Oryctolagus cuniculus: one gene and its partners. The protein of the gene in region 1 purifies or fractionates together with the protein of each later gene. This does not show direct contact. Links are inferred from orthologs where the notes say so. Each region holds a gene or a part of one and is shown in the gene's direction. Other genes may lie near its edges. The genes, in order: MAPK8IP1, MAP3K7, MAP2K7, AKT1 and MAPK9.

Region 1 (5,958 bases):
TGACCCGGAGCCTCCCACCCCACAGCTGCCCTAGAGGACTGCCTTTGGGCATGTCCCTACTTGGTGACCGCCTCCCACATGGGAGCAGCTGGACCCCGGGTCCCACCCTCCGGAGCCGACGATCGGCCTGTTTGTTAGAGGCTGCCCTTTGGCAGGCCTGGCCGACCCTCTGGGTTGTAACTCTGGCTTCCTGTCCCCCCCAGGCTCACCCACGACATCAGCCTCGAGGAGTTTGAGGATGAAGACCTCTCAGAGATCACTGACGAGTGTGGCATCAGCCTGCAGTGCAAAGACACCCTGTCCTTCCGGGTAAGGGCGGGCTCCTGGCTCCCCGGAGACCCCGAGTAGGGCGGCAGATGGGTGGGGATGGGAGGGAGGCCCCCAGGCTACAAAGGGGGCTTTCAGGTCCGGTGGCACCCTCATGAAACGGTGTGCAGGCAACACCCAGTGCAGCGCTTGGCACGTCTTGGGTGCGCAGTCAGAATTTGATTTTTCTGCCCCAGGGGCTCAGGCAGGAAGCCGGAGGCCTTGAGATCCAGGAGTGGGGCAGGAGGGCCAGAGTCCCTTGGGGAGCCGTTCCTGGCCGGGAGCCTCAGGCAGAGCAAGGGTGGAGTCTGGGACTCTGCAGTGCTTTGGGGACAGGACAGAGGCGCCAGGAATGACCCGGAAGAACTCCTATGGCTGCTGGCTGCCAGTGCGCCGTACCACGCCGAGGCCCTCACGGAGGGCGTGGCCCAGCATTGCTGATGCTTTGGGCCCTTTGGGCCTGGCACAGGGAAGATGGCTGTCTCCCGGCGCGGCCAGGAGGCACTCAACAGCCTCGGTCTTGCAGAGCAGGAAGAAGGAGCCAGGTAGCCCGCAGGACGAGGGCCAAGCTCGGGGCTGGGTTTGAGAGCCCTGCACTTCCTTCCGCCCCCAGGAGGGCGGGAAGCCAGATGTGGTATTGGGGTGGGGGGCTGCCATGAGGGTCGCGGGAGAGGCACCAGTCTCTGTGCAGACCTCTTGCTACCCGCGGAGGTTCTGTAAGCTCTTCCAGGCAAGAGACAAGGGGTGAGGAATCCTCCAGTCCTTACTGCAACCCTCTAGCCTGTGGCCAAGTCAGGAAGGAAGGGACACAGAGACCACTTACTGTGGACCTGGGGAGGGGTCCCAGGGCCCTGACGAAGCTTCCCTCCGAGGCCATGCACCTGTCTGGAGTCTCACGCCACCCTCTCCCCACCATGCACCGTCAGGGCCTTGGAGAGGGCGGGCCCTGCATTTAGCTGGGGCCCCGGGGGAGCACTGGCTGTGGGACGGGGGCGGTGGCCTTAGATGCGCCCCAGGGGCTCTCAGACACGCTTGCCAGGAATGGAAGGGTCAGGGGATCTGTCCAAGGTGCCAGGCAGGCAGTGGCAGAGCTGGAACTGGGAGGGGCTGTCCCCTAGGAAGGCAGGGCTAGCTTGCCCATGGAGAGGCCTGGGCCCCTGGGGTCCGACCGCCCCTGTCCCCCGCCTCGGCGACCCTCTTCCGGCGCTCCCAGGGACTCCAGTCCGCAGTACGGCCCTCCTCTCCTGGCCAGAGACTCGGTTTTCCCAGGGTCCCTCCTAGACTTCTTCAGATACAAATGTGCGCCCCCTTCTCCCCAATCTCTTGCGGGGGCCCAGCTCCTCGGGCGACCCCACGTCTCCATGGCAACAGCGGTGACTTCATTCTGGGAGCTGCTTACAGCCCGGGTGAGGTCATCGGCCGTTGCCAAGGGAACGGGAGGGTGCAAGGAGCCGGAAGGGGGGTCCGCGGGGAGGGGAGAGGGTGGTGTTCTGCAAAGGGGGCGATCGGGCGGGGAGGGGCGGCCGTGCGCTTCCCGCAGGGGCGGCCCGGAGCCCCCTCTCTTCCCTGCCGCTGCTCTCCGCCCCCCGCTTCGTGGCCGCGCAATGGATTCGTCCGGGCAGGGGGCGGTGCGCGGCGGCCTCGGCCCCGCCCCACCCGGCGCGGCCCCGCCCCCTGACGCCCCTCCGTCCGCGCCGCGCAGCCCCCGCGCGCCGGGCTGCTCTCTGCGGGCGGCGGCGGCAGCGCGGGGAGCCGGCTGCAGGCCGAGATGCTGCAGATGGATCTGATCGACGCGACCGGGGACACTCCCGGCGCCGAGGACGACGAGGAGGACGACGAAGAGCGCGCGGCGCGGCGTCCGGGAGCGGGGCCGCCCGAGGCCGAGCCCGGTCAGGGACCGGCGTCCCGCGGCCAGGGCCAGAGCCAGGGCCCAGGCAGCGGGGACACATACCGCCCCAAGCGGCCCACCACGCTCAACCTCTTCCCGCAGGTGCCGCGGTCTCAGGTGAGGCGCGGGGGGCGGGGCTGAGGGGGCGGCGCCCCGGGGCGGGGCCGGCTCCTGGGAGGTGGGCGCCGGGGGACGGGTGGAGGTCCCTGGAGAGGGCGAAGGAGCGCAGGGATTGACGGGGCCCGGGGAGGGGTTGGAGTAGGGAGCACAGGGCTTGGAGCGGTGGCAGAGGTGTGGAGTTTGGGACCCTCAGGGTCTGGGGTCCCTGGTGAAGGTGGGGCAGAAACGGCGTGGGGAGAGGGGAGAGGGAAGTGGTCCGCTTGGGCGAGGGCCTGGGAAGTTGTGGGGGAGGTGGGGCCTGGGAGCTGGCGTCTGAAGTGTGGGCAGCCTGGACTTCCCAGAGGCAGGGGGGAGGCCTGTGGGATGGCGCTGCTCAGCTGAGCTGGGGGCCTGGGGCCCCTGGGCTGCTGGCCGGAAGCCAAGGAGAGTTGAATAGGGTGGGGAGCGCTGGCCAGGCCCTTTGTCTCCCGGGTCCAGTCAGGAGAGGTAAGGAGGGGACCCAGGGAGGGGGAGCTGCCAGGGGATGGGCGGGGGCTGCAGAGAAACGGGGTCCCTCTCCCTGGATCCTCTGGTAGCCCAGCTCGTGGTGTAAGGTGCGAAGGAGACTTGTATGTGGGCGTTGTGGGGGCCGGGCTGGGGAGGTGCTGCGGATGTGGGCAAGCAGCCGGGAGATCCGGGAAGGGGTCTGCTGCCAGCCATGCCTGTCGCCCCCGCGGGCTGGGCCCCTGGTCTGGGGGCCAGGGGAGACAGTGCCCCGGAGCCATCTGAGTGTCACCGCAGGCTCCCAGGGTACCTCACTGCTTTCTACCCAGGCTGGGCCAGACCGGCCCTGCCCCTTCCAGGATGGGAGTCACGCTGCCCCCCCACTGCCCTGGGCATCTCACGTGGGGGTCCTGAGTCTGCTGCAGACTCCCCCTCCTCACCCCCCACCCCGCAGCCAACCAGCACCACCTTTGCCCAGGCTGACACTTCCCTGGCCACCCCTCACCCCTGCTGCCTGCTGCAGGGCAGGGTGGGGGCAGCGAGCAGCCTGGGGGGGCCCTGTGGGGGCAGGGCCAGGGCCTCCCTGTGCCGGGCACTGCTGACCGCCTCTCTCACAAGGGCCCTTTGTTCGCTGCCCAGGACACACTGAATAATAACTCTCTCGGGAAAAAGCACAGCTGGCAGGAGCGCGTGTCCCGCTCGTCCTCACCCCTGAAGACAGGTGAGGCAGACCCCCCCACACCTGGGCCTCAGCCCGCCCCGAGTCGCCCCTGCAGGGCCCCCACCTTGCCCATGGGGGTCCACCAAGGCCTGGGCTGCGGACCCAGAGCCTGCCCGGGGCCCTGGTGCATGGAGCAGGGACCGGGGTGGGGGGCCCAGGTGAAGGCAGCCCGGCTCAGCACTGCCCCCCCACCTCCACCCTGCCCTGCAGGAGAGCAGACGCCCCCCCATGACCACATCTGCCTGAGCGACGAGCTGCCCCCCCAGGGCAGCCCCGCGCCCACCAAGGACCGAGGCACCTCCACCGACAGCCCTTGTCGCCGCAGCGCTGCCACCCAGATGGCCCCTGCTGGCGCCCCCCCCACGGCCGCCCCTGGGGGCCGGGGCCACTCCCATCGAGAGCGCATCCACTACCAGGCCGACGTGCGGCTGGAGGCCACGGAGGAGATCTACCTGACCCCGGTGCAGAGGCCCCCAGACCCCGCGGAGCCCAGCGCCGGCTTCCTGCCGCCGGCCGAGAGCCGCATGTCGGTCAGCTCCGACCCAGACCCCGCCGCCTACCCCTCCACCCTGGGCCGGCCACACCCCTCCATCAGCGAAGAGGACGAGGGCTTCGACTGCCTGTCCTCCCCGGAGCGGGCCGGGCCGCCGGCGGGAGGCTGGCGGGCGAGCCTGGGGGAGCCGCCGCCGCCGCCGCCGCGGGCCTCGCTGAGCTCGGACACCAGCGCCCTGTCCTACGACTCGGTCAAGTACACGCTGGTGGTGGACGAGCACGCCCAGCTGGAGCTGGTGAGCCTGCGGCCGTGCTTCGGCGACTACAGCGACGAGAGCGACTCCGCCACCGTCTACGACAACTGCGCCTCGGCCTCGTCGCCCTACGAGTCGGCCATCGGCGAGGAGTACGAGGAGGCGCCCCGGCCGCGGCCCCCGGCCTGCCTCTCGGAGGACTCCAGCCCCGAGGAGGACGTCCACTTCTCCAAGAAGTTCCTGAACGTCTTCATGAGCGGCCGCTCCCGCTCCTCCAGTGAGTCGACCTGGCCGGGGCTCTCCCCCTGCCCCTCCCCTGGAGCTGGGGCCACATCCTCCTGCCCCTGCCCCTGCCCCTCCCCCGGAGCTGGGGCCACATCCTCCCGCCCCCTGCCCCCCCCAGCTGGGGCCACATCCTCCCACCCCCTGCCCCTCCCCCGGAGCTGGGGCCACATCCTCCCGCCCCCTGCCCCCCCCCAGCTGGGGCCACATCCTCCCACCCCCTGCCCCTCCCCCGGAGCTGGGGCCACATCCTCCCACCCCCTGCCCCTCCCCCGGAGCTGGGGCCACATCCTCCCGCCCCCTGCCCCTCCCCCGGAGCTGGGGCCACATCCTCCCGCCCCCTGCCCCTCCTCAGGTGCAGAGTCTTTCGGGCTGTTCTCCTGTGTCATCAACGGGGTGGAGCAGGAGCAGACGCACCGGGCCATATTCAGGTGAGCACCCTCAGCCCGGGGCAAGGCTTCGTCCACTCTGCCCTGGGCCCCTGTGTTCAACCTCTGGGCATGCAGAGCAGGGTGGCAAAGGGCCGTGGTGCGTGGGAGCCCGAGGCTGCGCCTACACACACAGAAGCCACCCTGCGCCCGCCCAAGCCTCCCGCAGACCGAAGGGCCCGGGTACCCTGGCCTATCCGCCTCTGCAGGGCTCCGCCCATGTCCTGCCCTTGATGGCGGGCGCCTGATGGACGCTGCCCCCTGCCCCCCGGCTGGCGTCGGGCCGGCACCCGCGCTGCTTTGCAGGTGTTGGCTGAGCTAAGGACACGGTCCTGGGGAGGGCCCGGCCGGGAGGCCCCGCTGAGGAGTTCTGCCCGGCCAGGTTTGTGCCGCGGCACGAAGACGAGCTGGAGCTGGAGGTGGACGACCCCCTGCTGGTGGAGCTGCAGGCCGAGGACTACTGGTACGAGGCCTACAACATGCGCACCGGCGCCCGGGGCGTCTTCCCCGCCTACTACGCCATCGAGGTCACCAAGGAGCCCGAGCACATGGCAGGTAGCGTTGCGCCTCCTGGCTGCCCTGTGCTCCAGCTCTCGGCAGGCTGTCGCGAAGGGGCCATTGCAGATCCCGCCCAGCCAAACCCGACTTCCGGCCACTTCCAGCCACATGCCGGAAGTGGGATGTGGCTCCCCCTGCTGGCCCTGCCGCTCCTCTGCCTCGCGCGCCCTCCTCGGCTTGCCTGCCTCTGCTGGGGCTCACTTCACGCTTGCTTTCCAGCCCTGGCCAAAAACAGCGACTGGGTGGACCAGTTCCGGGTCAAGTTCTTGGGCTCCGTCCAGGTTCCCTACCACAAGGGCAATGACGTCCTCTGTGCTGCTATGCAAAAGGTACCGGGCCCCCACTCCCCGCTCCCAGTCCAGCCCGTGTCTCTCTGGGGAGAGGGACCCAGGTGTCCAGAGGCAGGGAAGGCTTCGGGGCTCGGGG
Region 2 (5,958 bases), on another chromosome or scaffold:
TCAGTTGACAAAATCTTTCATGATCAGAGGTACCTAGGACTAACCCTCTATTTTCCCTAGGAGCTGTGTTTGTTGAATCAGTGTTTATAGAGACTCTAGAACATGAATACCAGGAATAACCAGCTTTGGTTTCCTAGCAATTAAAAATTGACAGCCCTAAAGTTTAAATGCAGTGATTTTAAAATATGCTAGTAACTGGGCAGAAATATACTAAAAATTGCAAATAGAGGGCAAGCTTAAACTTAGGTTTGCTTTCTTTTATACATTCATAAAACTCGGGTTCTAAAAGAATAGTTCATGAACATATATTGTTTCTGTATAAAAACATCAGATTATCTTTTAAATATGAGAATTAAACTGGAAGTACACGATTTGTATGTTAGGAACTATGAATGGTCATAAGGTTCAGATTTGTTCAGTAATCAGATTCTGATTATCACTTATTTCTTTTAGTTTTGATGAATTTAAAGTGTTATTTTTTTTGGTTTTGGCCATCTCAGAGAGAACGTTGGGTAACAAGTCAGTGGAATGAAGCTATTTTCCCCTAAAATTCAGTTAAAAAGTTAGTGGACAAACAAGTGTTAAATTACACAAAATTAAGTAATGCCTCTTGTATATAAAATACATTTGACTTTTTAAAAATGTATTTACTTATTTAGTATACTTTTCTGTAAGTGAAAATGGCACAGTATTACTGTAGTAAGGAAAGCAGAAAGATTGGTTTATTCAAAAGAATAATAATTACTTTTCATATTATTCAATTTTTGACACTGTAGTAAAATAACTGAGGCTTTGTTTTGCCATCTAATGATGGCATTTTTGCTGGCAGAATTGTGAGATGGCCAGGACATCAGATGACAAGAGATAGCAAGCACATATGTTTATGGATGTGTTTATGTGTCTCTTACGAAGGTACCACATTCAGTGATGAGGGCTCAACCCTAAGACCTCATCTAATCTAATCACTTCACTAAGGCTCTACTTTTAAACACCATGATTGGATATAGTTTCCATCCTCTTAGTAACTTTAGGCTTTGGAGACTAAACTCCTGAGGTCAAGGGAATAAATATTCAAACCATAGCACCATTGATTATCTCAGCAACAAAACTGAGACTATTATACTATGTAAATTTCATTTTTGAAAGATGTTATCTGGAAGCACTTGTCCATGGTAGATTAATCTTGTTGTATTGCTGCATTACAGTGTGCTATTGAGCAAGCAAGATTGTTACTATAATAATTGCTTATTCTTATGGGGGTTGGGAGGTTTTTTTGGTTTGTTTTATGGTTGTCACTTTTTGTTTGTTTTTTGAACTGTTTATTAAGCTGATTCACCTAGGGATTTAATAATGAATGTTGCTGTATAATCTGTTTACCATAAATTTGTTAGCCATAATTTTCATACAGAATTTTATTTTATTCAGAATTTTATTGTTAAGGGGAAAAGCCAGTAAGTTATAGATTTCTCCTGCTTTGTTTTGATAGCAGAGAATGGGGAAAAATTTTAAGATTAAAAATTTCTAGAAAAGAATACACAGAGAAAGTGTCACTCTGAATATATGAAAGATAAGAGCTATACCTTGTGATAAAAGGTAGATGATAAATGCAAAAAAAAAAGGTATTCATTGAAAAGACTTAAGTTGCTTTAGAAAGTCATTTCTACCTGTGACAGCCTCCTCATATCCAAGATTCTTGAAGATTTATGAACGCAGTTGTTTCTGTATATCGTGTGGAAGAGAGTCTTGAGATTATATTGCCTTCTTTTTCTAGGTAGCAATTACAGTGAAAAATGTGACGTCTTCAGCTGGGGCATTATCCTTTGGGAAGTGATAACACGTCGGAAACCTTTTGATGAAATTGGTGGGCCGGCTTTCCGAATCATGTGGGCTGTTCATAATGGTTCGTAAAAAGAAATTTTTTTAATGTACTTTGTATTTCATATTTGGAAGATTGTTTCTGTCTTATCTCCATCCCCTCTCCCAAAATAAGGAAAAAAATTATCCCTAACCTTAAAAACTAAAATTCTTTGTTATCAAACTATATTTCTATTATCAATCCCCAGCCCCTGAGTCTAGTAGGGCAGATTTGGGGATTTCCCTGGCCTCCATACAGGGCTGAGAATGTGCTACTTGTGCATATTAGAGAAAGGCCATCAGAACACAACCAGTGCCAAATCTCTGTCTCTCTTGAGCATAGAGAAGGATCATACTAGGCTCTCTGAAAAATTAAATACATAAATAAAATCTAATGTAGTTCAGATAATTGGAAAGTTACAGCCTTTTTCTCCTGAGGAAGCAGAGTCTCAGTAAGGAGAAAAAGCAACAAATAATGATAAGAGTTGTTGGTTAAGCTCATGAAAGCAAAACAGAATGCTTTACATACCCTCTCTCTATAGTCTCACACAGCCTGAGGAGGTAAATTCGGTTGTCTCATTTTACAGGAAAAAGAGACACAAATAACTCGCCATGGTCTCAGGATTAGTAAGTGGCAGAGATGGGATGCAAATCTAGATCTTTCTGACTCAGTTGCTGTATTTTTCAGACATATTGACTGAGGGACTCACTATTCTTATTCCTGCATATCTCTAGTAATGATATTTCTAAGCACTTAGGTATTTATTTCTAACCCCATATGATGTTAGCATGATCCTCTTCATTAATAGTTATTCCACATTTGCTTTGGGAAAATAAACTCTTCATGAAGGACAGTTACTTAACCTTAGTAAGCATTAGCCTTGTTCTTCATTTCTTTCATTCGAATGTAATCATTTTGATTTGTAACATTTATATTTACTGTTCCGTAAGTAATAAACACAAATGTCTGCCTAACTATTCAGGTCATTCATAGAAGATCATCAGAACAATTTTAGCTGTTTTTATCAGTTTTCTGTACCACTTGCAGTGTTACTGCTGTCAGGGTCATGGTAGGGAATGCTAGATCATTGACCAAGACAGTTTGTTCTCTCTGTCAGCTGGCAGTGAATGATTGAATGGCAATGAAATAAGGAGTAGAAGAACTAACTTGTTACTTCATAAAATTACCAAAACTTCGTATTTGAGGCCTATGTTAAGTGGGACCTTACTAATAATTTTACACAGGTGTAGGACAAAAAGTTGGAATTTTGAGCCTTGAAATGATTGATTCACAGCAACCATAAGGTCTCAAAAGAGTCATTTGGAAGTCAGCAAGTATACTACTGTAGTTGACCAACTTTTTGATATAAAAGATAAGTTTTCAAACACATTTTGAAATTTTTGAAATTTAGGTAATGTTTCTTCAAACCACCATTTGAATTTTCTTTTAAAGATTTATTGATTTGTTTATTTCAAAGAATGACAGAAAGGGAGAAAGATTGAGATCTTCCATCCACTGGTTCACTCCCCACATAGCTGCAATAGCTGGGGCTAGGCCAGGCTGAAGCCAGGAACCAGGAACTCCATCCAGATCTCACACATTACGCCATTTTTTGTTGTTGTTGTTGTTAAAAGAGCATAACAAATATTGTTACTTCTCAATCTTACTGTTCTATATTGTACAAGTTTTTTTTTTTTTAAAGATTTTATTTATTTATTTGAGAGAGTTATAGACAGTGAGAAAGAGAGAGACAGAGAGCATGGTCTTCCATCCACTGGTTCTCTCCCTAATTGGCTGCAACGGCCACAACTGCAGCCATCTGAAGCCAGGAGCCAGGAGCTTCTTCCTGGTCTCCCACGTGGGTTCAGGGGCCAAGGACTTGGCCATCTTCTACTGCTTTCCCAGACCACAGCAGAGAGCTGGATTGGAAGAGGAGCAGCCAGGACTAGAACCAACACCCATATTGGATGCTGGTGCTGCAGGCGGAGGCTTAACCTACTGAGTCACAGCACTGGCCCCGATGTACAAGTTTTAATTTAACTTTTTTAAAGATGTTTTCCCTTTAGGAAAATATACATAAAATAAATGTTAACTTATAGGACAAAAATAAGTCCTTTTTTTACTCCAAAATATAGTTTTTAAATTACAAAATCTATAAAATAAACACTGCTTTGGGAATACAAATAAAGAACTTGCTCCATTCTTTGGGTAAATACATTGCTTTCCCTCCTTCTCTCATTTTTAATTATAGGTACTCGACCACCACTGATCAAAAATTTACCTAAGCCCATTGAGAGCCTGATGACTCGTTGTTGGTCTAAAGACCCTTCTCAGCGCCCTTCCATGGAGGAAATTGTGAAAATAATGACTCACTTGATGCGGGTATAATCCTTCTTTTGAGGGGCTTTGAATTTAGGGAAATTTAATGTATACTGAGTTTGAGTAGGGCTTAGAGTAAAGGAGACATTGTAACCATTTTCTTCTTTCTATTTTTGGGTTTTCATTACTCATATAATCAGAAGACCCATTTGGAGTATGAAGGGGGAGTAGTCTAGTTCCTTGTAATGGGAAGATGTTTAGGCTAGGTTTCTGGTTATACCTTTTCATACTGCTTACATTAGTGGACATGTGTTTCCGTTGTCTCATCTGTAATGTGAGAGAAGCTGAATTAGATGATCTGTTAAGCCTTCGCAGGACTTGGGTATATTATGACTTTCACACCCAATGAAGGAAATTTAAAATTTTCTGATATATATCATCAGACATTCAGTATTAGTCAGTCATTTATTTAGTTATACAGGACAGTAGAGGGAGAGGTTGCATTCCCAAATACATTTGAGTGATTATGTTTTACTATTTGTATTTTTGTTGTATATGAAAACCTGAAAAGGTTTTTATAGCTAAAAAAAATTTTTTAAGTTAACCTTTCTTCTAGGATTTATAGAATATTTTAATTTTCCTAGTCTACAAATCAAATACATTAGAATCATTTGAAATAGTTTAGACTTCTAGATTTTGGTAGACTAAGAAAACAACCAAATAGAATGTTTGCTTTAAAATGTTACTTTAAAATGAAAGTACCTGAAATTCAGAGCAATTTGATCAGTAGAACAACCTTGCAATTTCCTTAAATATAGACCAAGTGATTTCCTTAATTAATACCCAGAGATTACTTTTTTTTTTTTTTTTTGACAGGCAGAGTTAGACAGTGAGAGAGAGAGACAGAGAGAAAGGTCTTCCTTTTCTGTTGGTCCACCCCCCAAAATGGCCACTACGGCCGGCACGCTGCACCGATCCGAAGCCAGGAGCCAGGTGCTTCCTCCTGGTCTCCCATGCGGGTGCAGGGCCCAAGGACCTGGGTCATCCTCCACTGCACTCCCCAGCCACAGCAGAGAGCTGGACTGGAAGAGGAGCAACCGGGACAGAATCCGGCGCTCTGACCGGGACTAGAACCTGCGATGCCGGCACCGCAGGCAGAGGATTAGCCTAGTGAGCCATGGCACCATCCCAAAGGTTTCATTTGTTCATTCTATTGAGAATAATGTAGGAAAAGCAGCTTGAACTAATTTGGTTAAACTTTGCCATCATACTAGGATACCAGCTATATATAGAACCCAAGGTGCTAAATAAAGATTTTGTGCATAAGGAAACAACTTAGTCTCTGATTAAAATAACAGAAGTTTCAGATATAGAAATTGTTCAGATTTTAACTATGTATATATGTGCTTTGTCTAATTTCAGAAGAGTGCCTTAAGCTTTTTTGTCTAGCAGATATGTTCAGTGTTATGTCTCTACCTCAGAGAAGGACATCCAATATCTATTCTCTCAATACTTAAATTATTTAGAATATTTAGTATTAATTATTATGCTATGGTATACCAGTCTCCTTTGTCAGGCCAATAATCATTGCAACAGTTTAGAAGTTTACATCATTGCCACGAGAACATAGATGTATTTCAGATCATTATAGCCATGATAGTGTTCTGTTTCATATATTCCTCTGCAGGGGTGGGGAACATGCCTTCTGTGCACCATCTAAGGCCCACAAAATAATTTGGTAACCCTGCCAAGGCAACCACAGGCAGATCTCAAAATTCAATAAA
Region 3 (5,632 bases), on another chromosome or scaffold:
GTAGGATTCCCCCTCCCCGCGGAGCCTCTGCCTCTTGGGTCTCTGGACCCAGCAAGATGCCCCCGTTGTGTTCCCCTGTGACCCACAGGAGCCTTTCAGTCTGTCGAGCTCCCTGTCGGGGCACCCTGGGGGCAGGGGAAAAGGACCCCTCACACGCAGGCATTTCGGCCACTCCCTGGTCACGCAGCCGCCCTGCACAGCTTGACTGCACTCCCACATCCAGGATCCACCCCCCATCCTCCCCTCTCTGCCCCGGGTCGGCGTGGACTGCTCCCTGGGGAGTCTGTTGGGAACCCAAGTGCTGGCACTGGACGCAGCCCAGGGCAGGAAGCTCAGCCAAGACAAACAGGGTCCCTGCTGGGGTCCGCAGGGCTGCCCTCCCGGGCCCCAGCGCGGAGGAGACCAGACTGGGTAGGGGGCCCAGGGTTCCTGTCCTGGCCCAGGCCGTCCCCGGAGCAGAGAGGAGCCCCGCAGGTGTCTGTGTCTGTCAGCTCCATCCCGCCCTCCCATCTCTGTTGGTTTCCACCCATCTCTGCAGTTCGGTGCCTCGAGCCTCCCACCCCACCCCTGCTCCTTGTTATGATTTGATTTCTTTTCTTTTGGACAAATCGGTCATTTCTGTTGTGATTTATCGTGGTGTTGTTTTTTTTTCTTCCTTTTCCCCCCATCCAGTTATTGTGATCACTCTAAGCCCTGCTCCTGCCCCGTCCCAACGAGCAGGTACCAGCCTTTTTATCATCGCCGCTTGGACATCTGCACCATCAACCTAACCGCTGCCCGGCTGCAGAATGCCACCCCGTCCCCCTGTGCTGTGTGTGTCCCCGTCTCCTCCTCTCGCGCGCTCTCACTCCACACGGGCGGCCGGCGGCACCCGGCCCTGGCTCTGCGCCTCCCACCTGCCCTCTGCCATTCTCCCTGGGCTCGGGCTCGGGCCCCCTAGAGAAGGCAGTGTGCCGCCTGACGGCACGGGAGCCCATCACCCGCGAGGGCCTGTGTGTGTGTGTGTGTGAGAGAGAGAGAGAGAGAGAGAGAGAGAGAAAGCTGGGCCAGGCAGGCACACACCTCACGAGGCAAGAGGGGGCCCAGTCAGATGCACGTTAGATCCAGCTCGACCATTGGAGCAGCTCCTGTCTCGTCCGCCTGCCTGCCCTGGGCGGCCGTACCTGCTCTGGTCACGGAGGGCACAGCGCTGCACTGACGGGACAGTGCGGCTGCACAGGGCTCTCCTGGTGGGCAGTGAGCTCACTCCCAGCAGGGGAGAAGGTGCTAGCGGGGTGAGGGACTGCACAGGGGCCGGTCAGGGAAGGCTCTGGGGGATGAGGAGTTTGAGCAGGAAACTGAACAGCCTCGCTCAGCCCCTGCACAGGTGCGGGTGTGTTTAGGAGCAGATGGGCCAGTTCTGTGTGCTGTACCGCGCGCGTGTGTGTGTGTGAGAGAGAGAGAGAGAGATCGGGGGCGCTGACACTGTCCGCGTGTGGGCGTGTGTGCCATGCTTGTGTGGCCACGCGGAGGAGACAGGCTGGCTCTGTCCCTGTCTGCATGTGTGTGGGGCGTGTGTGCTTGCGCCTGTGTGGGTGCATGTAGGGCGGGCAGCCGGTCTGTCCATGGCTCTTGTCAACAGGTGTGCCCCCCCCCCCGCATGGCCTCCCACTCTCATTCATTCATTCACTCTCCCTCCCTCCCTCCCTCCCTCCCTCTCCCGTGCCCCGCCCCACTCTCACTCCACCCTCCTGACCTGCTGTGTGGCCATTCCCATCTCTGTGACCTCTCTTCGTAGGGCCTTTGTGTGGCTCCCGCACACCCACACACATTCACTCCCCTGCCCCCTCAGTGGCCCTCAGAGCCCCACTGTGCTCCGGGTTGTGGGGCCAGCAGTCTTCCCTGAGCTTTGGGCAGCCCTCCAAGGGCACCACACACACGGGGAGGCTGGGGCTATGGCGTCTCCCCCGCAGGAGCCCGCGGTGCAGGCAGAAAGGGGCTTGGGCAGCCCCCCGGGCAGGGGGAGAGCGGGCAGGCTCTGAGGAGGAGGGGACCCTCAGGAGCGGGGAGGGCTTGGGCTGTGATGAGGGTGGTGGGAGTGGGCAGGGGAGGTGAGGCCTGCAGGCCAGTTGAGAGCACAGGGCCTGGCCTGGTCCCCAGCTCCCTGGAGCCCTGTGTCCGGCAGACCCTGGTGGGACTGAGCGGTCTTCTCAGCCGACAGGTGGGCGTCCTGTGGCTGGCTGTGATGGGGACCAGGTCAGCGGGCCAGGAGAGGGCCTGGCTGCCAGCACCCCTGCCATGTGGCTCTGCTCCTTGGTCCGTGGGCCCCAGTCTGCAGGAGCTAGCAGGATGGGGGGGGGGGCGAGGCAGGAAGTGAGGGGCTATCTGCTGAGGCTGGGGGAGAGCCAGGCACCCTTGGGAGGCGGGGCCTTGGAGGCCTGGAAGCAGTGCCCTGAGGGGTCAGCGGGTCAGGGCTGCACTGCTCTCCTGGCCCCTGCTGTTCCCCCCAGCTGTTAGCCAGCACAGGGAGACCCCGAGCTCCACAGGGACCTGCTCTGTTCTGGCCCCCGGTCTTGGTTCCTGTCTGTCTGTCTGTCTCCTGCCCTCCCACCTCCTAACGCCAGGTGCCCGCTGCCTGCCCGCTGCCCGCCCCGCCCCCTGCCTGTAGCATGCCCGAGCTGTCCGCATGCAGGCTGCTGGAAAGACCCCAACCTATGCCTGGCCCACTCTCCCACCCCATCCTGCCGGCCTCTGGAGGGCCCGTGCCACCCGGATCCCCTCACCCCAGGACGCAGGCACGGCCGGGGTCCTGCCCCCAGCCCCTCCCCCAGTGGCCCTGGTTGTGCCCTTGATCAGCCTGCTGGCCTGAGAGTGGGGCAGGGCAGCTGAGCTCTCCCCAGGGGTCTGCCTTGCTCTTGTGGGGCTGCCAGGTCCAGGCTTGTCAGCAGCGTAGGGTCCAGGTGGCTCCTGGCAGACATCCGGTCCTTGTGTGGTCAGAGTGCAGGTGCAGTGGCCCTGGGCCTGCCCTGTAGGCGGAGGCCGGAACAGAGGGCCCCCATCAGCCCCCTCATTGCACTGTCGTCATAGACTTTGGGACAAACCCTCAGCCTCCCCTGCCCTCTCCTGCCAGCCTGCTCTTCCCAGGTGTGGGGGCTAGGAGAAGGCCCCCCAAGGATCCCCCCGGGGATAGGGAGGGAGGACCCTGCTCCCCCAGCCAGCAGAGCAGGGACTGGACTGGCCTGGCTGAGGCACACAGGGAAGGGAAGGTGAGAGTCCCCACCCCTTCATCCCGGGGTACCTGACCTCACCCCTGTGCACCCCTGGTTCTCACCCCTCAGCCCTGCAGCTTCCACTGGCCAATGATGGGGGCAGCCGCTCGCCGTCCTCAGAGAGCTCCCCGCAGCACCCCACGCCCCCCGCCCGGCCCCGCCACATGCTGGGGCTGCCGCCCACCCTGTTCACCCCACGCAGTATGGAGAGGTGAGCCGTGGGGGGGGGGCCGGCTCGGGGTGGGGGTGCCAGCTGACTTCAGGTGGGGCAGGACCTCCCCTCACCGGCACCACTCCCTGTTCCCCCAGCATTGAGATTGACCAGAAGCTGCAGGAGATCATGAAGCAGACGGGCTACCTGACCATCGGGGGCCAGGTACTGCCCTGCACCTGCGCCTGTGCCCGGGCCTCCAGGAGGGGGTGGGGGGGCAGGACCCCACTGGGCTGAAGGGAGCAGAGGCCCCCGACCTCCAGCCCTCACTTCCCTCACCAGCGCTACCAGGCGGAAATCAATGACCTGGAGAACCTGGGCGAGATGGGCAGCGGCACCTGCGGCCAGGTGTGGAAGATGCGCTTCCGGAAGACCGGCCACGTCATCGCCGTCAAGGTGAGCGGGCGCCCCTGGCCTGGGCGCGGCCCCAGCGCTGCGCGCTGCGGTGCTGAGGCTCGGTCCCTCCCATCTGGCAGCAAATGCGGCGCTCGGGGAACAAGGAGGAGAACAAGCGCATCCTCATGGACCTGGACGTCGTGCTCAAGAGCCACGACTGCCCCTACATCGTGCAGTGCTTCGGCACCTTCATCACCAACGTGAGCCGCCCCGCCCGCCTGCCCCGCCCCCAGCCCTGCGGGTGGGCTGGCTGACCAGTGCCTGCTTCCCTCCCCCGCAGACGGATGTCTTCATCGCCATGGAGCTCATGGGCACCTGTGCCGAGAAGCTCAAGAAGCGGATGCAGGGCCCCATCCCGGAGCGCATCCTGGGCAAGATGACGGTGGCGGTGAGCCGACAGCGGGCTGGCCCGCCGGTGGGGAGGGCGGCGGCCCCAGGCCCTGCAGCCCTCACAGGCCCCTGCGTGCCCCTGCCGCAGATCGTGAAGGCGCTGTACTACCTGAAGGAGAAGCACGGCGTGATCCACCGCGACGTCAAGCCCTCCAACATCCTGCTGGACGAGCGGGGCCAGATCAAGCTCTGCGACTTCGGCATCAGCGGCCGCCTGGTGGACTCCAAGGCCAAAACGCGGAGTGCCGGCTGCGCCGCCTACATGGCTGTGAGTGGGGTTCACGGGGGTGGGGGGCGGGGGGCCGGGAGAGGCCAGCCCCGCCCCAGGGGTTCATCTTGCCCCTCCCTGCCTGCAGCCTGAGCGCATCGACCCCCCGGACCCCACTAAGCCCGACTACGACATCCGGGCGGACGTGTGGAGCCTGGGCATCTCCTTGGTGAGCGCAGCCCTACCTCCCTCCCCCAGGGCCAGACCTCCTGGGGACGCGGTGGGCGGGTGCATGGGAGCCCAGCCCCTCCCACCCAGCCTCTCGTGCCCCCGCAGGTGGAGCTGGCCACGGGGCAGTTTCCCTACAAGAACTGCAAGACAGACTTCGAGGTCCTCACCAAAGTCTTGCAGGAGGAGCCCCCACTCCTGCCGGGCCACATGGGCTTCTCGGGGGACTTCCAGTCCTTCGTCAAAGACTGGTGAGGACCCTGCGCGGGGGCGGGAGGGCACGCCCTGATATGGGCGGGGAGCAGCTGCTGGGGAGGCCCAGGCTGGAGCTGGGGCCCTGGGTGCGGCAGACTGGGTTTAGATCCTGCCAAAGCTGGCCCCTTGGACGTCTGGCAAGGTGACCCTGCAGGAGGCTGCCAAGCAACCCCAGGCCACGCCCATCCTCCCTGGGGAGCTCCGCCCACCCTGCTGTGGAGCATCATGCCTGTCACACTGTGCTGGGCCAGGGCACTTCAGGGACGCGCTGCTGGCCAGGTCCCAGCCTCTGGACAGACTGGAAGGACCCCCACTCACAGCGGGAGCTGAGCCAGGAGGAGCCAGGCCCCCTCTGGGCTCTCACCTGCCTCCTCCCCCCTCTCCCTGCAGCCTTACTAAAGACCACAGGAAGAGACCAAAGTATAATAAGCTACTTGTAAGTACCCGACCCCTGGCAGCCCTCCCCTGCCGTTCCGCAAGCCGCCTCGTGCCCTGTGGGGAAGGCCCTGTCCTAAACCCTGCCCCTCGCACCTGCAGGAACACAGCTTCATCAAGCGCTACGAGACACTTGAGGTGGACGTGGCGTCCTGGTTCAAGGACGTCATGGCGAAGACTGAGTCGCCGCGGACTAGCGGAGTCCTGAGCCAGCACCACCTGCCCTTCTTCAGGTAGCCGCGTGGCAGCGGCTAGCCCCCA
Region 4 (5,958 bases), on another chromosome or scaffold:
CACGTCAGACACGGAGGGTCGTGGGCAGGTGAGCAGGAAGCCTGCCCCAGGGAGGAGATGGGAGCCACGGAGCGGGCAGCCCAGGGGCCTCACCCGGAGGGTGATGGGACACGCCGGGCCACCAGAGGTTCAGTGACGGATGAGGCTGAGGTGGGGTGGGCGTCCAGGCGAGGGTAGAGGAGCCCACAGCCCCCGGCACCTCCACAAGGTGGTGCCCGGCTGTGTCCTCTCCTGCGTCCGAGTGTCCTCTGGTCAACTCCACCCGCCTTGCCTGCCTGGTAGGGGGGCTTCCTGGGAGGGTGGGACAGGCCCGAGGCTGGCAGAGAGGTGGGCCTGGCGGTGCCAGCCCCTGCCGGGCCGGAGTGGCACTGCTCACCCTCCCCTGAGGACCTGGGCCGGGAACGCAGCGCTGGGCAGCTGGGCAGCTCCCCGAGGGCTGGTGGCCTTGGTCAGACTGGCCCGGTGCCTGCTGCGGTGAGGGGCACAGGGACCCCCGCAGGCAGTGGTGGCCACCAGCAGGCCCTCTGCTCAATGTGCCGGAGAAGGTGAAGGCGCGGCAGCTGTCGGCAGGATGGATGTGCTGGCGGCGGGGGACCGCAGGCCTGCTGGGGCTCACTTCGCTGTGGAGAGACAGCCCGGTGCTGCCTGGCACCCTGCCAGCCTGCACCCGCCGCCGCGCAAAGTGCCAGCCCAGCAGTTTGCTGGGGACCGGGAGCGTCCAGAGGATGTGCGTGGAGGTGGGGACGCGGCTCCAGCCCGTCAGAGCCGGGCAGCGTGGACCCCGAGACTGCCCCCGGCCACGTCGGTACTGGCTGTGAGCTCGCACAGGCTGGGCCTTGCGCAGGCCCATCCTGTCCCCAAGCATTGTGTGGTGTCCCCGAGGCCAGAGCTGACCCAGGCCGGGTCGCAGGAAGCTAGCTAACCCTGTCACCCTGCTAAGGGCAGCCATCCCCTTCTCCCTGTCCCGGGCATGGTGGCCTGGAGCCTGGACAGGACCTGGGGCTCCGTGCAGCACCTCAGGGGCCACCACTGTGCTCCCAGCCCAGGGCTGGGTTCCAGGCTGTCCTGCAGGTGGGCCGGCCAGCAGTGGGGCGGGAGCGGGTCCCACCCGGGCATCTGCACCTCCTGATGGCAGCGCCTGGCTGGACCTGCCTAGAGGGCAGCTGAGCCTGCTGGAGAGGCCCTGGGTGGAGCCTGGCACCGCCACAGGTCTGAAGGGGGGGGGGGGCGCTGAGGAGACCCTGCGCTGGGCGCCAGTCGCTCCCTGCCAGAGGCCCAGGCCCCTCTGGACCTCGGGGTGGGCAGGTGCCAGTCTGCAGGTGTGCAGTGGCCTCTGCCCCCACCCTGGCGGGGCCGGGGGTCTCAGGTCCCACGTTGCTTTGGCTGAACTTAAGACGAGGGCTGTAGCCCAGGCACGGCGAGCACTGTGGGTCCCCATGGGCCTGCCTGGCCGGACGCAGAGGCAGAGGTGTCCCTCGGCCTGCTCCTGGCCCCCGTGGAGGGGTCTGTGTGCTGAGGGCAGCCCCCTCACCGACACTGGGGGTGGGGGCCCTGTGTGTGCCGTGTGGCGCAGGACCGAGATGGATTTCTGGGGCGCGCGCGGGTGCTCATCAGTCTCCCCGCTCGCTCAGCGTCCTGGGGAGCGGCAGCTGGTGGGATGGCAGGCACTCCATCAGGGGCCGACAGCTCCAGACTGGCGTGCAGGCGGGTGGGCACGGCGCCGGGCGGCCCGGGACGGGGGGGCTGTGCAGCCCCCAGAGCCCGCTCCGCTCGCCCCCTGGAGCCCCTGCCTGCCCCCACCTGCCCAGAGGGGGTGCCTGTGGTGGGCTGGAGCCTCTTCCCTGAGGGTCGCCCTTTGCTCCTGCCAGAGGCCCCGGTGGCCCCAGCCTGGCGGGGCGGGGTGGGGGCTGCCTCCAGGCTCTCCCAGGGGGGTCCTGGGTGGGGAGGGCGGCTGGCCCCAGGACCCTGCATACAACCCCTCCCAGCTGTGGGGGGCACCCTCATGAGGGGGCAGAACCTTGTCCTTCCCCCAAAGCAGCCCCCGCCGCACCTGAGCGACCGCCCCCTGCATTGTGGGGTGGGGCCTGTTAGCTGGCCTGCCCCCCTGGGCATCGGGGTGTGGCCTTACTCCACTGCTCTGGTCCTGCTGGTGGGCTGGCTGGAATCAGGCCCACCCCAGTCCAGGCACAGTAAGCACCCAGGGGTGCTTGGGGGGGCCTCTTAGAGCCCTGGGCTGTGAGGGGGGTGGCTGGGGTGCAGGTCCCAGCCCAGCCCGGGGCTTCCGGGTCCCATCTGCAAGTGTGTCCAGGACCAGGGTGCAGAGTGGCAGCTGCCGGGCACCTGGGGAGGGAGGGCCACTGCCCTGAGTGCCTTGCCCAGGGGACGCCTGCCGACCCGTGTCCTCTGAGCTCCTCTGGGGGTGGCCTGTCCCTGTGTCGTCCCCAGCTCTCAGCCCACAGTGAAGCAGCTGCCTAATTAGCAACTTCCCTGTCGTTCAGACTCTGTGCTCGGCAAAATGTAAATGAGGCGTTTTCTCGGGTGTCAGTGTGAAAAATGGCGCAGCGCGGCTCCACGGAGCATCTGCCGTGTCCCCGAGCGCCGCGGTACTGGGGGAGTCGGCCCCCGCGCCTGGACCAGGGGCTGTCCCAGGGTGGGCGGCAGCTCTGCCCTCGGCCCCAGGACTGTGCTGCTGGCCCTTCCTTGCCAGTGCCAGGCTCTGTCCTCTTGGCTGGAGGCCGGCTCAGGCCAGCAGCCACACCCTGGAGCCTGGGTGCCCGGCCAGTGCCTGAGCTGGGCACCAGCTGACCTACTGCCTCCCCCTCCAGGAAGGCCAGGTAGGTGGGCCCAGGCCTCCTCCCCGTGTCCCAGGTGTGCAGGTGGGCCTGGCCCCTTTCCGGCGCAGCGAGCCTGCCTTCCCGTCCCCCACCCTCTGCCTGGCGTAGCTGGCCAGCGACCTGGACAGGGGCCCTCACCGCCTGTGTCCTCACAGGGGAGTACATCAAGACCTGGCGGCCACGCTACTTCCTCCTCAAGACTGATGGCACCTTCATCGGCTACAAGGAGCGGCCACAGGACGTGGAGCAGCGCGAGTCCCCACTCAACAACTTCTCTGTGGCACGTAAGTGTCCCCTCGGCCACTCCGGGTTGGACGTGGGGCGGTGCCTGGAGTGGTCCGTGCCCTGTGGGACTGGGGGCCAGCCCTGGCTGGCGGGGGCCTGGGCCAAGCTGCATGGCTGTCCTGTGGAGCTGTTCCCTGAGCCTCCTGCCCAGAGGGGACAGCTCGGGCTATAGGGAGCCTCCAGGCTCTCCCAGGGGGGTCCTGGGTGGGGAGGGCTGCTGGCCCTAGGACCCTGCATACAACCCCTCCCAGCTGTGGGGGGCACCCTCAAAGCTGGCCAGTGCCACTTTTTCCCCTGCCTGGCTCCCCAGTTGTCCCTCCCACGATGCTGGCTGGGGCCGGGCAGGTCCACTGCCACTTTCTACCACCTGGCAGCCCAGCTCTGCCCTGGGGCTGGCCTGGGGCAGCTGGGGGCGATGGGCCTGCCAGCCGTGGGCCTCTGGGTTCTGCCCCTCCCTCTCCTTGGCCAGCACCCTGGGGTCCTCTGGCCCCTGGCCTTCAAGGGCCACCCAGGTTCTGGTTTGGGGGCTGCAGGGAGGTCTGGCACAGGTGGCTCGACCTGGGCGTCGCCCTGCCTGTGGGCATCTGCGTGGGGATGGGCTGCGGCACTGGCTGCTGGGTCATCCCTCCCGGGGCCCACTCTGTGCTAGAGGAGGGGCCTGGCCGTGGGGATTCCCGTGAGCCCCAAATGCCACCCTCCCCGGCCTCAGGCCCAGCTTCCTGGGCCGGAGGCCACCAAGGAGGCGCAGGCCAGTTCCCTGGAAGCCTTGCTATGCCCGCTGTGGGGGTGAGGCAGGAGGGGCCTCTGCAGAGGAGCCCATGGGGGCAGCGCCAGCCGGGGGCAGGGGGCGCTGCCTGGCCAGGGCGAGAGCCAGCGTGTGTGTGCGGAGGGCCTGTGTCCAGGGGCTCTGCCTTGTGGGAGGACCGAGTGAGCTTCCTGCCCGCACAGACACAGGCCGCCTCCCACCAGGCTGGGCCCCGGGCCCCCACGCAGCCCCTCGCCCGGCAGACCTGGCCCTCGTGGTTGCCAGGGTGCTGGTGCTGGAATGCACACGCTCCCCGGCTGTGGGCGTGCGTGCTACAGGCACACGTGTGGCAGGCGTGCGTGTTCCAGGGGCGTGTACTGTAGGTGTGCGTGTTCCAGGCGCGTGTACTGTAGATGTGCATGTTCTAGGCGTGTGTACTGTAGGTGTGCGTGTTCCAGGGGCGTGTACTGTAGGTGTGCGTGTTCCAGGCGCGTGTACTGTAGGTGTGCATGTTCTAGGCGTGTGTACTGTAGGTGTGCGTGTTCCAGGCGTGTGTACTGGACTTCCGGTCAGGGTCTCCCAGCGACAACTCGGGGGCCGAGGAGATGGAGGTGTCCCTGGCGTGCATGTTCCAGGCGTGTGTACTATAGGTGTGTGTGTGTGTTCCAGGCGTGTGTACTATAGGTGTGTGTGTGTGTTCCAGGCGTGTGTACTGTAGGTGTGTGTGTGTGTTCCAGGCGTGTGTACTGTAGGCGTGTGTGCTCCAGGCGTGCTGCAGCTGTGGCTGTGGCAACAGCAGGGCGTTCTCGCCCCTCCTTGGGCCTGGGCACCCCTTGCCCTCCAAGGCCTTGGAAGGTGACAGTGACCTGCCTCGCCCCAGCCCCAGCCTTGTGGGCAGGGGAAGAAGTGGCACCTGGCCAGCTTGGAGGGGATGTGCGCAGGGGCCTGGGCCGGCAGCCTCCCTGTAGCCTGAGCTGGAGGAGGGCCCTGGGTAGTCTGGGGCTCAGACGCTTAGGGAGGGACCGTGGCGGGGGCTCACTCCCCCCGAGCAGAATGTTCAAACTGGAGTGGGGCGGGAAACAGCCTGGAGGAGGGGAGTGGGGCCTCCTGGGGCCAGCGGGGGCAGGAGCTGATGGGCACCCCCGGCCCTGCCCCCAGAATGCCAGCTGATGAAGACGGAGCGGCCGCGGCCCAACACCTTCATCATCCGCTGCCTGCAGTGGACCACGGTCATCGAGCGCACCTTCCACGTGGAGACCCCCGAGGAGCGGTACGCACACTGCTGGCCCGGGGAAGCTGGGGCACAGCCCCGCTGCGTGCCCCCGGCAGCTGTGACCGCTGGCCCCCCGACCCCTGCAGGGAGGAGTGGACGACTGCCATCCAGACGGTGGCCGACGGGCTCAAGAAGCAGGAGGAGGACACGATGGACTTCCGGTCAGGGTCTCCCAGTGACAACTCGGGGGCCGAGGAGATGGAGGTGTCCCTGGCCAAGCCCAAGCATCGTGTGGTGAGGCTCCGGCTCTTCCCGGTGCCCCGGGCCAGCGGCGGTGGGCAGGCGCCGCTGACCCCGCTGACCCGCCTGCGCACCCCGCAGACCATGAACGAGTTTGAGTACCTGAAGCTGCTGGGCAAGGGCACCTTTGGGAAGGTGATCCTGGTGAAGGAGAAGGCCACGGGCCGCTACTACGCCATGAAGATCCTGAAGAAAGAGGTCATCGTGGCCAAGGTGGGCGGGGCCGGGGCGGGGCCGGCGCGGGGTGGGCGGGGCCGGCGCGCGCTCACCCGCCCGCCTTGCAGGATGAGGTGGCGCACACGCTCACGGAGAACCGCGTGCTGCAGAACTCCAGGCACCCCTTCCTCACGGTGAGTGCGGGCCCTGCGCGGGCGGGGCCCGACCCTCGCCGGGACGTCCGGGGATGTCGGGGTGGGGGAGCCTCCTGGGGGGCTCCGGCGCCGTCCCACCCGCCTTGGCTCTGCCCCGCAGGCCCTCAAGTACTCTTTCCAGACGCATGACCGCCTCTGCTTTGTCATGGAGTACGCCAACGGGGGCGAGGTAGGGCCGGCGGGGGCGGGGCCCGGGGGAGGGGCGGGGCG
Region 5 (5,958 bases), on another chromosome or scaffold:
TTTTGAAATTATTTTTGAGCTTTTTACAAAAATCTAGTAGTGCACAGATGCTGGGCATGCAGCTGGGGTCAACACACCCCAGGAAGAACAGTGCCAGGGCCTCCCACACCCCCCAGGCCTCTCGCACAAGGGTGGCCATTGTCCTGAGTTCCAGCACCACTGACTGGCCTCATTTATTTTTGAACTTGTTTTAAACAGAATAATGCAACGTGCTGTCTTTTATGTAAAATTGGTGTTTTTTAACCTGAAAACTCAGCTTGTTCTAGCAGTATCAGAGCTCTTTGAAAACAAGAGTTCTTTTTCAACAAGTTGGTTGAAAAGAACTAAATCACATTTACTTGTACGAAGGAAAACAGCAGAAGTGAGTTTTGCTCCAGGTATATGTCGATGCTCTGTAGCCTGTGCTTCTGCTCTTGAGGGGCACAGCTCTGTGTGCCTCCTGTGGAAGGGGGAGAAAATCAGATTCCCAGTTCACGTGCCCACCCCCGCCTCCCCCAGCAGGGGCCCCTCCTGGCTCTGCCTGTGCTGTCCCAGGACCCACAGGAGAAGTGGGGGCCCCCCGGCACAGCCTCACTGAGCCCAGCCACGCCAGCCCGCCTCTGTGGCTGTGCCCACTGGACGCTGCTGTCTTTCTGACATGGCACCCTGGGGAAGGCTGTCTCCGGAGGTGTGGTACCCATATTTTACAGAAGCTCCCCCTGACAACCTGGTGCAATGGAGCGGATTTGTTTTGTCTGGGAGGGGTTTGAAGGAAAGCGGTGCGGGGGCTCTGGCTGGTCAGTAACCACCTGGTGTTTGGTAGTGGACATCTGGTCTGTCGGGTGCATCATGGCAGAAATGGTCCTCCATAAAGTCCTGTTCCCAGGAAGAGACTGTATCCTTCACGGGAGGGGCCTGAAAGCGTGGTGTGCACACACACTTCTTGTTTCTGCTTTTCTGTTTCTGTTTTTGTTTTTTTAAGCCGTAAAGTATTGGAATCTTTGGCAGTAAAATCCCAGATTGCTGCAAACTGAAGGCTAAAATAGAGGTCAGCAATCATTCATATTGTGTGAAAAGTTCACCCTTAGCTAGCAGTTTATCTCCTGTATCTGTGTGTTTAGTGCACTGTTAGAACTCCTCTTCCTCACCTTTGTTTTGTTCATGGCACGTCATAATTTTATCATTTCATTTTATTTTCAGTTGATATCTGGTCAGTGGGTTGCATCATGGGAGAGCTGGTGAAAGGTTGTGTGATTTTCCAAGGCACTGACCGTATCCTTCCCGGGACCTTGACCCCGGCCATGCTTTCCATAAATGCCACAGGCAGCATGATCTCACCTGCTTGCACGAATGCTCCAAAGGAAAACAGCGTCCTCCACACTGTGTTCTAAAGGGGTCTTTATTGTGTCTGTTAAATTAGTGTCACAAAGCAAGTGGTCTTTTTTACTTGACTACCTATGATGATTTTGTTTAGATTTAGAGTCGCGTTAAGCTCTTAATTTTATTTAAAAAAAAAACTGGAAATTTATGCAGAATAAGTTATTCACTGTTTGATAAATGCATTCAGACATTTAAATGAAAATGATGTTTTATTTAGTTCATTCTATTAACTAGAAAAGGTGCTGTCTAAATTTAATGGGCTAAAATGTTTGCATGATTTTAATTAAAGACTATTTAGTTAGTTGTCAGTATGTATTAATAAGGTTCTCCCCCAGTGTAAGAACTGAAGTTTACTACCGAAGACCAGAGTGAAAAAGTTTAAAATAGGAATTTGGGGAGAAACAATATCTTAAGTTTACTTGTTTGTTACTCTGTTAATAGAAATTTTAGTTGCGACACACTAGGGAAGTTAAGTAAATATTAAATGCAAAGATGACCCGTCCTGTGGTCAGCAGTCAGGTTCCTGATGAGCAGACAGGAGGCTGACCACACAGTAGCCGTGAGAGCCCTTCCTTCTTATCCCGTGATCCTCCCATCTCCAGCATTCTCTACCCCAGCATGCGTCTTCCCACTTGTGTTCTGACCACTTCATCTTTCTGTTGGTGTTGATTTTGTGTTTTGCTCTGAAAGGTAATAGTGGCCCCTGCCAGCCGATGCTGGCTGCTCTGAAAGGAAATCAGGCTCTGTAGTTAGTGATTTGTGTGTATTTTATGAAAGTAATTTTCGTTTTTTATAATTTTACAAGGATAGTTTTCTTATGAATTATTCACAACACAAACCTAAAATGAAAAAAATCCTATATTCCTATCATTTTATTTATTTATTTATTTTTATTTTCCACATCGTAATCACAGATTATATAATATGTGAAGATAAATATAGCATTTTATCTTGTTCTTACAAATTTCAAGCACTTTTCCATACCTTTACCTCAAATTCATTTGTTTCAAACTATAAGTATTTTGCAATAAAATTGAGTAAATTCAACTAAAAAGGGAGAACTTATGGTAGTCTAATAATTAAAAACTGAACATAGTTTGTCTCAATTCTTACTCATGCCTTTCTTTTAGTAATTAAGAAATATTTTCTTCAATAAGTACAAAAATGAAAAATGTGGGTACATTTTGGTATACTCTAGTAATTTGAAATTTCTACTTTATATTTAATATAATGTCAGTAATTCATGCTTTTATCTATAGTGTTACCTAATGTTGTTCTCACACCTTACATAGAGATCCACACTATTTTCTAAGGGAAATTTCGCCAGCTTTTTCAAATATTGCATTGAGATTTTGAGGGATTAAGAAAGGTTCTGGAAACCAGACTGAGATTCTCAGAGATCCACTTCAGATTTGCAACCAGAGCAGAAAACTCCTGTGCCCTCCTCGCCCACTGTGGCCTATGAGAAAGAGAAAGTGTTAGCCAAGCCACCTTCAGCCCCAATTTGGGCTCTTCCCCATGGCAGCTGTGCACATCCTTGAGCAATCCTGCTCAGAACCTTGGTTTTCCTTTTGTAAGATGGGAGACTTGCCATATGCCCCTTAGGATCTTGGGCGTTAAACAACAGTGTCTGCACATGCCCAGAAGTCCCCCAGGCTGGTCAGGTTCTGCTCCAGGGCCCTCGGGTTCTGTAAAAATGACTCTTTATCCAGCAGGTGTTTATTCGGCCAGGTTCCTGATCTGACGTAGGTTTTGAAAGGCTCATTCCGGAGAGGAAGGCTGGACGCAGGAGACCCGTGGGAATGGTGGAGGCCACACCATGCTGGTTGGCCTGCAGGTGGGGAGATGGTCAGCACTTCAGAGCCAAGTTAGGAGATGTCTGTTAGTAGAAAAACCCAGTGAGGAGTTCAGGAGATAGTCTGAAATAAAGAGAGGAGGGGACCATCAATCCGACAGTAGCACTGAAGCCTCAAGGCTGGCAGTGAGTGCCTGCAGAGAGGAGAAAGAAGGGCCAAGGATGAACAAGCTAAGGCCTAAGAATTGACCATTGGATGGGGTGCTGGCCACTGGCAACCCTGATGGGCACAGGTTTCCTGGAGTAGGGGAAAGCCTGGGAAGAATGTGTTAAAACAGAGTGAGAGGCTGGGAATTAGAGACACAGGAAAAGACAACTCTTGAGAGAGTGTAGGAATAAAGAATGGAGTGATAGGTAGCAGATGAGAACCAATAACAGTGTGTCTTCAAGTAGGCTGAAGATGGGGGGCAGGGCAGAGGCCCAGATAGCTCCCCAGTGGTAGATGCTGCGTAGGTGTGGGGAGGGGCAGCTGGGCGCCCGAGGTGCTTCTGGGAAAGAGGAGAGAAGGAAAGCTGTGAAGTAGCTGTCACATTCTGGTCAAATAGGACAGTAAAAGGTAGGCATGCCTCTCACGTGGTAATGTGTGTGAAACAGGCATGCAGGAGGAGATCCCGCAGGCATGCGGATGCCTGGGACCCGTTACAAGTGTGATGCTCAGGAGCGTGGAGTTGGTGTGCCGGAGCCCCGCCTGGGCTGCTCCACAGCGCTGTGGGCTCGTTGTCTGAGACAGGCCCTGTCACTTTGTAAGCCACTCTGTCCGTGCTTTGCTCGGGCTGGCTTCCTCTGGTTCAGTTTGCGGTTTCAGTATCACTTTCCATGGTTACCATTCCAGCCGTCCTAAGCTTCACAGGCACCCTGGGAAAGGGGCATGGCTGCTGTCACCCGCGCCGTCCAAATCAGGAAGCTGACCCCTGGGAAGATGGACTTGGGAGTGTTTAGTGCACAGCTGAGTCTGAAACCAGGTCACGTGCTTTGAAAGGAAGCAGATGCCCATGGTGTTGGGCTGTGTCAGGGCCAAGCTCTCTGGTTGCCCTGGCTCTTTCTCAGCCAGGTACAGACATGGCTGGGTCCTGCCCTGCCCCTCCCCCTGCTACCTGGGGCCAGGCCCATGGCAGGGCTTTGAGTCCCTAGCTGTAAGCTGAGGACAGCAGAGAAGTTCTCTCCACAGGTCTCTCAAGTTCTCCACTTTAATGAGCCGGGATCTCTTTATCTAAGGGAACTTTAGGAAACTGATTTCAGTGTCAAGTGATGGCTATCTGATTCCGTGTTTAATCATTGCCGCCTTGGGTGCTCTTAGTTGTAAGTTAATTTTGGACAAGAATGGAAAGGTAGATAGCCTTCCTTGTGCTGATTTAATAAACTATGATGATAAGATGCAGAGTGTAAGAGTTTTTAAAATAATCTAAGCTAGAAACAGAAACCTTATTTGAACACCATTTCCAGTGCTTCTGCTGACCCAGTGGGGTAGCCTCATTAATTTCTTGTCATTGAGTATAAATGTAATTTAAGTACTCCCTCAGATGGTGCTACTTAGTGTACTGTGAATGTAAGGCATTTCAGTTGCATTTTCCTCAAGAGACCTCTTAGATATTGATCAGTGGAACAAAGTCATTGAGCAGCTAGGAACACCGTCCGCAGAGTTCATGAAGAAACTTCAGCCAACTGTGAGGAACTATGTGGAAAACAGACCGAAGTACCCTGGAATCAAATTTGAAGAGCTCTTTCCAGATTGGATATTCCCATCAGAATCAGAACGAGACAAAATAAAAAGTAAGATATCCTCTTTCTCTCATACTTATTTTTGAAATCCAGGAAAAGCTTGCTTTTTTTTTTTTTAAATGTGTCCATTCTAAAGCCTGTGAATGTTGGGAGGAGAAATAGTTGAAACCACAGAATACAGTCAGGTGCAGGCCAGACACCTGGTACATGAAAGCACTGTGGGGAGAGGGCTATAGATGCGGAAGTGTTGTCCTCCGTGTTCAGATCAACCTGAGAGGTTCTTAGGCCACAGTCCCAGCAACTGAAATTCAGAATGTCGTTGGATATAAAGAAAGCTGGAGTGAAGATTGCAGAGTCAGAATCCATGCTCGTTGTTCAGTAAAAAGACCTTTCCTGCCCTTCAGTGTCCTTCACTGAAATGTGATTGTTAAGGAAAACGGTCGATTTGTTTTCATCCGCATCGAGCTGCAGCCTTGCTTTGTCTGTACAAGTTGTGAACTTCATTCAGTTGCCAGAATCTAGCTGAGCCTGTGTTTTAGTTATTGAACTTGTTGGTTTTTCCCTAACTACTAATCTCTAAATTTAGGGGAAAAAAAATAAGTGAGTATTGCTAATATTGTATACAGCTAGGCCAAACAGAGGCATCTCTACAGTGTTTTATTTTGTGAGAGTATCAGACTCATGTGTGGTTTTAAAAGACCGTTCTAATTTCATTTTAATGTGACGGGAAAAAAATACTCATGCCCACACCCCTGGCAGTGCCGCCTGAGCTCTTACCCCGCGCCCCGCTCCCTGCCATGTGCTCTCAGCCGCGGGCCCCCTGCAGACACTGGCCCAAGGTGCCTCGGAGCCTCCTACTCCATCTTGGGACACAGATTTCTCCTCCCCTTCCTGGGTCAGAGGAATAAGAACACGTTGGAAAGCCTGGGTTTTTTGTTGTTTTTTGTGAAAGTGGCTGTTTGAGTTTTCCTTAAGGCTTTGGGCTCTGTTGATCTCTAACCTGTCACATCTCTTCAGCATTCATT

What was found.
Region 2: the proteins of MAPK8IP1 (region 1) and MAP3K7 purify together in Homo sapiens (pull-down; 3 studies listed by BioGRID and IntAct, with this or other methods). This does not show direct contact. The link is inferred for Oryctolagus cuniculus from reciprocal best matches to the Homo sapiens genes MAPK8IP1 and MAP3K7.
Region 3: the proteins of MAPK8IP1 (region 1) and MAP2K7 purify together in Homo sapiens (affinity purification with western blotting; 3 studies listed by BioGRID and IntAct, with this or other methods). This does not show direct contact. The link is inferred for Oryctolagus cuniculus from reciprocal best matches to the Homo sapiens genes MAPK8IP1 and MAP2K7.
Region 4: the proteins of MAPK8IP1 (region 1) and AKT1 purify together in Homo sapiens (affinity purification with western blotting; 3 studies listed by BioGRID). This does not show direct contact. The link is inferred for Oryctolagus cuniculus from reciprocal best matches to the Homo sapiens genes MAPK8IP1 and AKT1.
Region 5: the proteins of MAPK8IP1 (region 1) and MAPK9 purify together in Homo sapiens (affinity purification with western blotting; 4 studies listed by BioGRID and IntAct, counting the BioPlex papers as one, with this or other methods). This does not show direct contact. The link is inferred for Oryctolagus cuniculus from reciprocal best matches to the Homo sapiens genes MAPK8IP1 and MAPK9.

What each region holds. Positions count from the first base shown.
Region 1 is NC_091432.1:20,067,291-20,073,248, reverse strand, and holds part of MAPK8IP1 (C-Jun-amino-terminal kinase-interacting protein 1), read left to right. Parts: intron 1-203; coding exon 204-309; intron 310-2,008; coding exon 2,009-2,311; intron 2,312-3,436; coding exon 3,437-3,518; intron 3,519-3,728; coding exon 3,729-4,541; intron 4,542-4,901; coding exon 4,902-4,977; intron 4,978-5,356; coding exon 5,357-5,529; intron 5,530-5,751; coding exon 5,752-5,861; intron 5,862-5,958. UniProt on the Homo sapiens protein: The JNK-interacting protein (JIP) group of scaffold proteins selectively mediates JNK signaling by aggregating specific components of the MAPK cascade to form a functional JNK signaling module. Required for JNK activation in response to excitotoxic stress.
Region 2 is NC_091436.1:81,924,688-81,930,645, forward strand, and holds part of MAP3K7 (mitogen-activated protein kinase kinase kinase 7), read left to right. Parts: intron 1-1,771; coding exon 1,772-1,900; intron 1,901-4,106; coding exon 4,107-4,237; intron 4,238-5,958. UniProt on the Homo sapiens protein: Serine/threonine kinase which acts as an essential component of the MAP kinase signal transduction pathway. Plays an important role in the cascades of cellular responses evoked by changes in the environment.
Region 3 is NW_027208201.1:4,112,495-4,118,126, forward strand, and holds part of MAP2K7 (dual specificity mitogen-activated protein kinase kinase 7), read left to right. Parts: intron 1-672; coding exon 673-720; intron 721-3,317; coding exon 3,318-3,459; intron 3,460-3,557; coding exon 3,558-3,624; intron 3,625-3,741; coding exon 3,742-3,855; intron 3,856-3,935; coding exon 3,936-4,055; intron 4,056-4,135; coding exon 4,136-4,243; intron 4,244-4,333; coding exon 4,334-4,513; intron 4,514-4,601; coding exon 4,602-4,682; intron 4,683-4,789; coding exon 4,790-4,932; intron 4,933-5,326; coding exon 5,327-5,372; intron 5,373-5,473; coding exon 5,474-5,608; 3' UTR 5,609-5,632. UniProt on the Homo sapiens protein: Dual specificity protein kinase which acts as an essential component of the MAP kinase signal transduction pathway. Essential component of the stress-activated protein kinase/c-Jun N-terminal kinase (SAP/JNK) signaling pathway.
Region 4 is NC_091451.1:46,974,795-46,980,752, reverse strand, and holds part of AKT1 (RAC-alpha serine/threonine-protein kinase), read left to right. Parts: intron 1-2,989; coding exon 2,990-3,118; intron 3,119-5,022; coding exon 5,023-5,134; intron 5,135-5,223; coding exon 5,224-5,371; intron 5,372-5,458; coding exon 5,459-5,590; intron 5,591-5,661; coding exon 5,662-5,727; intron 5,728-5,848; coding exon 5,849-5,917; intron 5,918-5,958. UniProt on the Homo sapiens protein: AKT1 is one of 3 closely related serine/threonine-protein kinases (AKT1, AKT2 and AKT3) called the AKT kinase, and which regulate many processes including metabolism, proliferation, cell survival, growth and angiogenesis.
Region 5 is NC_091437.1:67,258,281-67,264,238, forward strand, and holds part of MAPK9 (mitogen-activated protein kinase 9), read left to right. Parts: intron 1-802; coding exon of another isoform or gene 803-874; intron 875-961; exon of another isoform or gene 962-1,027; intron 1,028-1,179; coding exon 1,180-1,251; intron 1,252-4,801; coding exon 4,802-4,984; intron 4,985-5,958. UniProt on the Homo sapiens protein: Serine/threonine-protein kinase involved in various processes such as cell proliferation, differentiation, migration, transformation and programmed cell death.